Mus musculus: one gene and its partner. The protein of the gene in region 2 interacts with the protein of the main gene of each other region in a pairwise test. Links are inferred from orthologs where the notes say so. Each region holds a gene or a part of one and is shown on either strand. Other genes may lie near its edges.

Region 1 (4,551 bases), about 33 Mb from region 2:
CCTGAATACTGGAATCAAAGGCAAGTACCACCATGCCCAGCTTCCAGATCACTTCTTGAAAGGTTTTAAGGAGAAGATAGGAAAAGCAAAACAAAATAAAACCAAAACAAACAAACAAACAAACAAAAAAAACCTCAGCCGGGCGTGGTGGCGCATGCCTTAGTCCCAGCACTTGGGAGGCAGAGGCAGGTGGATTTCTGAGTTAGAGGCCAGGCTGGTCTACAAAGTGAGTTCCAGGACAGTCAGGACTATACAGAGAAACCCTGTCTCGAAAAACAAAACAAAACAAAACAAAACAAAAGGATGGCAAAGATTACAGAGGGTGAACACACATACACACATCCCAATAGTTTTCTCCAGGACTGACTGTGTAGGTGAGAAAGTGGGAGGAGGGGTAAACTGAGGTTTTTGCTGGACACCGTGCAATGACCATATTAGAGGGCTTCAAAAAGTCAAAAAAGTCCAAGTTCAAATTCAGAGAAATATGGGAACTTCTTGGGTCACTATACCAAGCCAGGTACAAGACCCTCTTCTGGAACCATGACCATCTCCCTGAGATAAGGAAGAGACAGTCAAGTACTGTGAAAATGTGGATGAACGAGGGGTTTCTGATTCTTCACTCTAGTAGAGATGCTAACAACTATCCTAAACAAAATTATTCCCCTTATTGTTTCTTTCTTGCCTATAAAAGTCTTGCTTATTATGCATTTGGGCGGTTTCTAGACTACCCAGTGCACCACTATGTGTATACACTGAAGAAGGCAAATGATAACTCAAAGGACAGCTCTATGTTTGTTCTGAATTTGATAGAAGGCAAGATGAACGGCAAAGGGAACACAATAAATAGCAGAGTGTCATCCAAGAGAATGTCGTGGAGAGAATGAGAACAGCATTTAGGAGCACATGAAAAAAACCTGTCTTTGCTTGGGTTTTTTTCATGTGCTCACTAAATGATGGTCTCATTCTTTCCATAGTATTCTGCTCTTGATTAGTCTTATTTAATACCTCTAACTGTCCTAAATGAAATAAGCTATGTATAGAAGGACTCAGATTTTATATATTTCTGTACAGCTTAAACACTTTAATATATGTATGTGTTACTTTGATAATTAAGAAATGTAGTGATACAAGTTATGGAGATGGCTTGGCGGCCCTTAGTGCTCTTGTAAGAGACCTGTGTTCAGTTTCCAGCACCAACACGGCAGCTCCTAATTGTCCAGCGGGTCTAGTACCTTTTCTGACCTCTGAGGGGTCCTGCATGCATGTGGTATATATGCAGGACACTATGTGGTAAAAAAAATAAATAAATTCAGTGATCACTAACATTAGTATAGAAAGGAAAGAGGAGGAGGAAGAGGAGGTAGAACCCTAAGGGAGAAACCAATAGGGTCCAATCTATAAAAAATTTGACAGGTTAGCAAACCCCTCCCTCTATATGTGTGTGTGTGTGTATATATGTATGCATACATACACACACACACACACATGCCATGTTTGAATACCAAACAGCCACAAGTTATCCTCTGACATTGTGGCTCACATATGTATGCAGGTTATTACATATAATATAATTTAAAGACTTCTTCATTCTCTATAATCCATCTTTCTAAATACCTCAAGGTTTGACCTAAATAACTAATCTCACACACACACACACACACACACACGTTCCTGAATAAGTGGGCAAAGAAGAAAGGATGGTGCCAACCTTCTGGTAGCTAACCTCTCAATTCTTCCCCAAATCCCTTCAGGGATATCACCTCACAGTTCCTGGCGTGAATAGTCTGTCCCATTAACTATCTAGGAAATGCTCAAGTGCAAGTCTCACAGAAGTTTCAATAAACATGGTCCTTTTTTTTTTTTTTTTTTTTTTTTAATGGCTGGGGATTGCTTTGCCCCTTTCCATGCAAATGACAGAGTTCCTCAAATCTAGGTTAAATAAGCGTAGTCACCACAGATCACATTATGAAGTGGGAAAGACTGAGCAAAGCACTCCCAAATTTTCTTAGTTCTCTCACAGTAGATGAAATAGGAAAAACAACGAATACAATAGCAAACCTAAAGGAAACAGGAGTGCAGTCATGACTAGCTATGAGGTCAGGGTAAACTAAAGTGGTGTGTGTGTGTGGGGGGGGGGGGCTGGACGTAGAGCTGCCAGGCGCCATGGAATAATACATAATTTTACCTTTGTCTTCATTCCCTATTCCTGAAGTACCCCAAAACTTCAAATCACCACACCCAAGCACTAAAGGAACAGAAGAGTAAGGAACTTCCAAGATACTGAGCCTCCCCTCACCATCATTCCAGAAGTTCCCATTACTAATAGCAAACCGTTTCTACTTCCTTCCACTTTGGTCTTCTACATTCTTCATTGACTTCAGTGAGACCAAATCCCTCTCGGCAACACCAGTACCCCTAGTTCCCCTTTCAACAGTCACTTTCCCTGAAAAGAATGCCTCTCTCGGCTAAGAGCCCCAACAGTGGATGTCTCGGGAGACCCAGCCTCGGCTACCCTCGGGGCTGGGCGTAGCACTGTCCCCTCCACACCTCCAGCCAAATGGGCTGGCTTCCCCTCCCTCACTGCCTGGTCTCCGACCCCAGCTCCTCCCTCCTCACCGCGGTGCTCAGAGTCCCGAGGCCGGCCCTGGTCCTCACCGGCTCCGGGTCCCCGCGCCCGGCCCCCGAGCGGCCACCACAGCCAGAACCCAGCCGCCTCCCAACTAGAGGCTCGGCTCCCAGCCCTGCCGATCACCTCCTCAGCGCCCACTAGGCCTGTGGGACAGCCCCTTCGGCCCTCTCCAGGAGGTTCTGGAGCCCTGACGTCGGCCCGCCCCGCCTCTGCCACAGGCCAGGCGGCGCTCCTCTCGGGACCTCCGCCTCTGCCCTTGTGGGCTCCATCAGCTCGGTACCTGGGGCTCCGTATCCCCCGTCGGGCCCAAGCCTGTGTGGAACAGACAAACAGCTGCAGCTCAACCAAACTCCTACCCCCTTCGCCTCCTCCTCCTCCTCCTCCTCGCCGGGGCGGCTCCAGCCAATCGCAAGATCACCCGCCTACCGTGGTGGGTGGGCTATGTGAGCGTCCGCCCGCCAATCTTCTGGAGAAAGGCGGGCTCTGAGGGACTATCACCAACTAGCACAAGTGAGAGACTGGATTGGCGAGGCCGCAAGCCAATACCTACACGAGAAGCCTTGAAGATTGACGGGATAAGTAGCCATTAAAGAGAGAGCTCCTGGGAAAGGGGGCAGTGCATCACTGACAGGCATGTGCGTCAGCCAATAGAACCTCAACACCCGTGACACCCCTCCCCCGCCTCTCGACTCGTAAACATCTAATCAGGTGAGTGAAGAAGGCGGGTCAAAAGGAAATTTTAACCAGTATTGGGAAATTTCCGAATTTGACAGGCAGGCAAGGCTAGTGAAGAAGTGAAGAAGGCTTTTGGTCGGGTGTGGTGTGGCACTCCCAATCTCAGCACAGTGGATTGGGGTGGAGGCAGTTCTGAGTTTGAGGCTAACCCGGGATACTCAGTTTAACAAGACCTCAGTATAAGGGGGATGGGGAGGGGAGTAAACTGGGCTTGGTGGCCCACATGTTTAATCCTAGCAATCGGGAGGATCTCCATGAGTTCCAAGCTACACAACGATGTCCCCCCCCCAAAAAAACAAAAACAAAAAACAATGATACCAGCATTAACCTTCTCTTCTCCCCGTGCCCTGCTTTCTGTGTCAAATTAAGAAAGTAAAGACCCTGCTGGGCATGGTGGTGCACGCCTTTAATCCCAGCACTGGGAAGGCAGAGGCAAGGCGGATTTCTGAGTCTGGCCAGTCTGGTCTACAAAGTGAGTTCCAAGACAGCCAGGGCTACACAGAGAAACCCTGTCTCGAAAAACCAAAAAAAAAAAAAAAAAAAAAAAAAAAAAAAAAAAGTAAAGACCCAAAACCAGGAAATTAAACAACTTTTATCTTGTAAATTCTTTTTAGTGGCGCACTAGAGAACAGTAGTTTTGGGGTGAATTGCCATGACAACAGAAAGTGGTAGTCTGAAGACACTTTAGCCTCCTAAATATTTTCACATTGATATTTTCTGAATTGTTTGTAAATGTGAAAAAACATTTAGACAACTTTGCTGAGGATTTTTTTTTTTTTTCGGTACTGAGGATTGAACCTAGGGCCTAGAGGCAAGCTAGAGAAGCATACACTTCCGGTAGAAGACCCAAGGCCTGTTCCCAGTACCACTGCTCACAGCTGCCTGTAACTCTAGGAGAGATGATATGCCCTCTTCTGGCCTCTGCGGGCACTTGTGGCTCACATGCACACACAATTTCAAAACCAGACCAAACAAACAAAACTCTACACAAAATGGTGAACACTTCCTGGGAAATGGAGGGTTGAGACAAAGGCCCCTGAAGCCCACTCAAGTTGCTGCTAAAAGAAGGAATTGAAACAGTGTTCTGTATTGGTGTGCCTGTGTGAGTAGGGGAAAGTTGGAAGGAAGCTCTTCAGTTTCTCCATCCTTACAAACACCCCACTAAAGAGCATGGCAGGAGGGCCTGC
Region 2 (3,817 bases):
GGATACGTAAGCCAAATAAATCACTTCCTTCCCGATCTGTCTTTGGTCAATGTTTTATCACATAAATCAAAAGAAAACTCGGCAAATACACGAAACAAGTCATGTTTAAGATGCTGTTATTTTTTCAATTATAATGTCCTTTAACCCTATCTAATCAAAACTCTTACAGTTAGCTGATTCAGTTTTCTCTTTTTCTTAACTATATTTTTCTTTATTTGGCCCTTACATTTTAAATGATTGTTAGTGATAACCAGAACACAAATAACAATTTAAAAATAAACACATGAACCATTTTACTTAATAGAAATAAATGTTCTCCTTTTTTTAAAAGATTTATTTATCTATCTATCTATTTATTTATTTATTTATTTATTTATTTATTTATTTATTTATTTATTATATGTAAGTACACTGTAGCTGTCTTCAGACACTCTAAAAGAAGGACTCAGATCTCATTACGGGTGGCTGTGAGCCACCATGTGGTTGCTGGAATTTAAACTCAGGGCCTTAGGAAGAGAGCAGTCAGTGCTCTTAACTGCTAAGCCATCTCTCCGGCCCCATGTTCTCTTGATTTCTGTATCGAGGTGAGAAAAATTTGAAACTACAAAAGCTCATTATATTTTACATATTTGTAGTAAAATAACACTGTACCTCTTTCTCTTATATTCTACATATTTATAGTAAAACAATGTGTACCTCTTTTATTATATTCTACATGCTTATAGTAAAATAGCACGTACCTCTTTCTCTTTCTCGAGTGACTTTTTCAGGTCCTCCTGCTCCTTCAGGGCACTCTCTGCCTGTACTTGAAGCTGATGCTTTAATTCTTTACAAGCTTTTTCCTAATAAAGAAACATCACACTGAAAACATCTGCAATGACTTACAAGTGATTTATCGGTTTAAAAGAAAAACAGAATGAACTAAACCAACCCCTACACACATGCCAGTTATGGCATTTAAATAAGATAATGACTTCTACCTGAGAAAAGAAATGTAACAACTAACCAAATCTAATACAGCAGCTTTTCCTTTCTGATTTTCTTTCTCAAATTCACTTTTGGAGTTTTTTAAAGAATCCGAAACTTTTGACAGTTTTTCTTTTGTTGTAGAAAGCTCGGCCAGGAGTGCGTCCTTCTGTGCCTTCACTGCTGTCAGCTCTGTGACCGCAGCTTGCATCCTGTCCCCCAGCTCCTTGTGCTGTGTCTTTGAATCTTGACTTAACTTTTCAAATTCTTGTTTCAAGACGACATTTTCTTCTTCTTTCTTGGTGAGGGTTTGTTTGATATTTTCAAGGATTTCAGATTTATTCTGTAGATCCAGTTTTGTACAAGATACTCTGGATTAAAAAAGAATTTTAAAAATTAATGTAATATAAAATTTATCAACCAAAATTATTTATAAGTGATTACTGAGTCTTGAATTTTTAATATGGTTCAGAAGAAAAAGTAAAATAATTTTAAAAACACTGAAATTTGCCTTAAGACATCTCATTAGATGCACGCGGTCTCCTCAGGAAGGGCCAAGTTAGTGACATTTCCTAACTTAATCAAGTCTGGACCACCACCATTTACTCATCAGAGAAATTCAGGTAACAAATCCTAGAGGGTCTACAACAACGCGCGCACACACACACACACTGAAACAAAACCACACTTGGTGACTCTCTAAAGTCGGTGTGAACAACCAACACCTTAGGGATGTACAGTGGGAGGCCAGCTTACACTTCCTCCTGCTCCTGGAGCTCTCTACTCAGCTCTGCATTTCTCAACTCCAGGTCTGTGCTCAGCTGCCTCTGCTGCTGTAGACTCTGCAAAGCCTGTTCCTTGCTGGCTTTAACTTCAAGAGCATCAGCTTCTAGTTTCTGTGGGTGAAGTACAGCATTCATTTGAATTTTGACAATGCCTAATGATTATTATAACATTTGGTCTGCATACAAATTGTTAGTGACAATATACAAAATAGCTATAATGCATTTATAGAAATCCATTCTGAAACCACCACTGAATGAGAAAATGGTTCTAATTAGGGTCTGTCAGATAATCTAGAATGGGCTTTTTACATAAATCAGTGGTTATTTTTAAAATTAATTATAAGAGAATCAATTTAAACATAAATATTAAAAATGCAAATGTTTGTCAATTTAAGTTAGAAAAACAAAACTAAGTAACAGGTTATTCCCATATCCACTTAAGATATATTATCTATGTATATGCAGTTAACAACTACAAAAATAACAAGATATTTAAAATAAAATTGAATGGATTTGTCATGTACTCCTCAAACTTATACCTACTGATCTTAAATATACAACACTTAAAATTCCTGACTTTGCTTATTAAGTGTTTTTGTTAATTATATCACTGTTGTTTATACTGTACCAGGCATCTCATACATATTATATGTCTGATTTTTTAAATTTATAAAATCAAGCTACTATATATAGTTTTAGATAGAAGCAATGTGCTTTCATTTCATCAGTGTGTGTGTGTGTGTGTGTGTGTGTGTGTTCTCATGTGTGTGCCTTTGGGGAGTGTCTACAGGTGGAGGACAAATACCAAAATTGAGTGTCTTTCTCAATCTCTCCATTTTCTTTTTCTAAGATAGGGCCTGTCACTGAAGCCCGCTTGGAGATCCAGATAGGCTGGCCAAACGTGAAGTTCCAGGGATCTTCCTTTCTCTGCGTGCCCAGCACAAACACCACAGGCCCTTTCCATCATGCCTGACATCTTATGTGGGTACCAAGTATCCAAGCTGGGGTCCTCCTGCTTACACGGCGGGGCTTTACTGACTGAGAAATCTCCCGAGACCTCAGTTAAGTATTTTTAAAATGAACCCCCAAAACATAGACATTATACATGCCAGTGGGGTACCTATAGTGTTATGCTTAAATCAAGTTAGACATATCTCATTTACCTTTGCTCTGTGCTAAAAACTTTCAAAGACTCATTTTCGTACCTTTTTGAAATGTATAGAATAAGGTGTTATCTATAATCTAGTACTGTGCAACAGCACCCCAGAGATTCTTGCTCTGATTACAACTATTTCAGAAAGGGGCCCAAGTAAGACTTATCTCTGTTTACTCTGTTTTCTGTAACATATTATCACCTATTCTTTTGAACCAGATCTAATCTGTCATTACTACTGCTGTTGGCATTTTAAAAGAACCACCCATAAATAGAATTGTAAAAGCCATTCTTTTATATTATACTGGTGTAGATGCCCATATAGAACACTCATCTCATAATTCTATAATCATACAGCTTGCATCAACTGATCATGGAAGTATAATAAACCTAAGGGTTTTTGTTGTTTAACTGTTAGTATTTCCAGAACAAAATTAAAGTTTCCCTGATCTGTCCAATTATTTCACCTTTTAGTAAACCAGCACCGCACTTAGAATTATCTTAAAGAAAGGCTGAGCTTATGATTGTCAAAAATGCATTACTAAATTAGACGCAAAGTCCAAAGGATATGGAAAGTTTTAAAAAGAATAAACACCACACCATAGAAGAAATGTTAGATTAGAATAATATGTAGGGAAATGGAAAAATCAAAGGGGAGAAGACATTCTATAACAAGACTTATACTGTTTGGTGTCTCCTGGGATACAATTTCCCTTTACAATAAACTAGCACTATGTTAATTTTTACTTATAAAAGCCACCCATTAATGAAGGAATTGAAAACAAAGATGGAAATATATTAATTGATAAAGTAATTTTTACATTTTTTACCCTTTTGTCTTTCTCTTTTACTTAACAATCTTTGAATCTGTAAAGGCCATCAAACCCCAAAGCTGTTGAGTGGAAAATACGAC

What was found.
Region 1: the proteins of Eea1 (region 2) and Rab5b interact in binary tests that used the Homo sapiens proteins (3 or more experiments, as listed by UniProt). The link is inferred for Mus musculus from reciprocal best matches to the Homo sapiens genes EEA1 and RAB5B.

The regions. Positions count from the first base shown.
Region 1 is NC_000076.6:128,693,277-128,697,827, forward strand, and holds the start of Rab5b (ras-related protein Rab-5B), read right to left. Parts: upstream 2,993-4,551; 5' UTR 2,910-2,992; exon of another isoform or gene 2,612-2,909; intron 1-2,611. UniProt on the Homo sapiens protein: The small GTPases Rab are key regulators of intracellular membrane trafficking, from the formation of transport vesicles to their fusion with membranes.
Region 2 is NC_000076.6:96,024,077-96,027,893, reverse strand, and holds part of Eea1 (early endosome antigen 1), read right to left. Parts: intron 1,863-3,817; coding exon 1,723-1,862; intron 1,338-1,722; coding exon 1,007-1,337; intron 843-1,006; coding exon 741-842; intron 1-740. UniProt on the Homo sapiens protein: Binds phospholipid vesicles containing phosphatidylinositol 3-phosphate and participates in endosomal trafficking.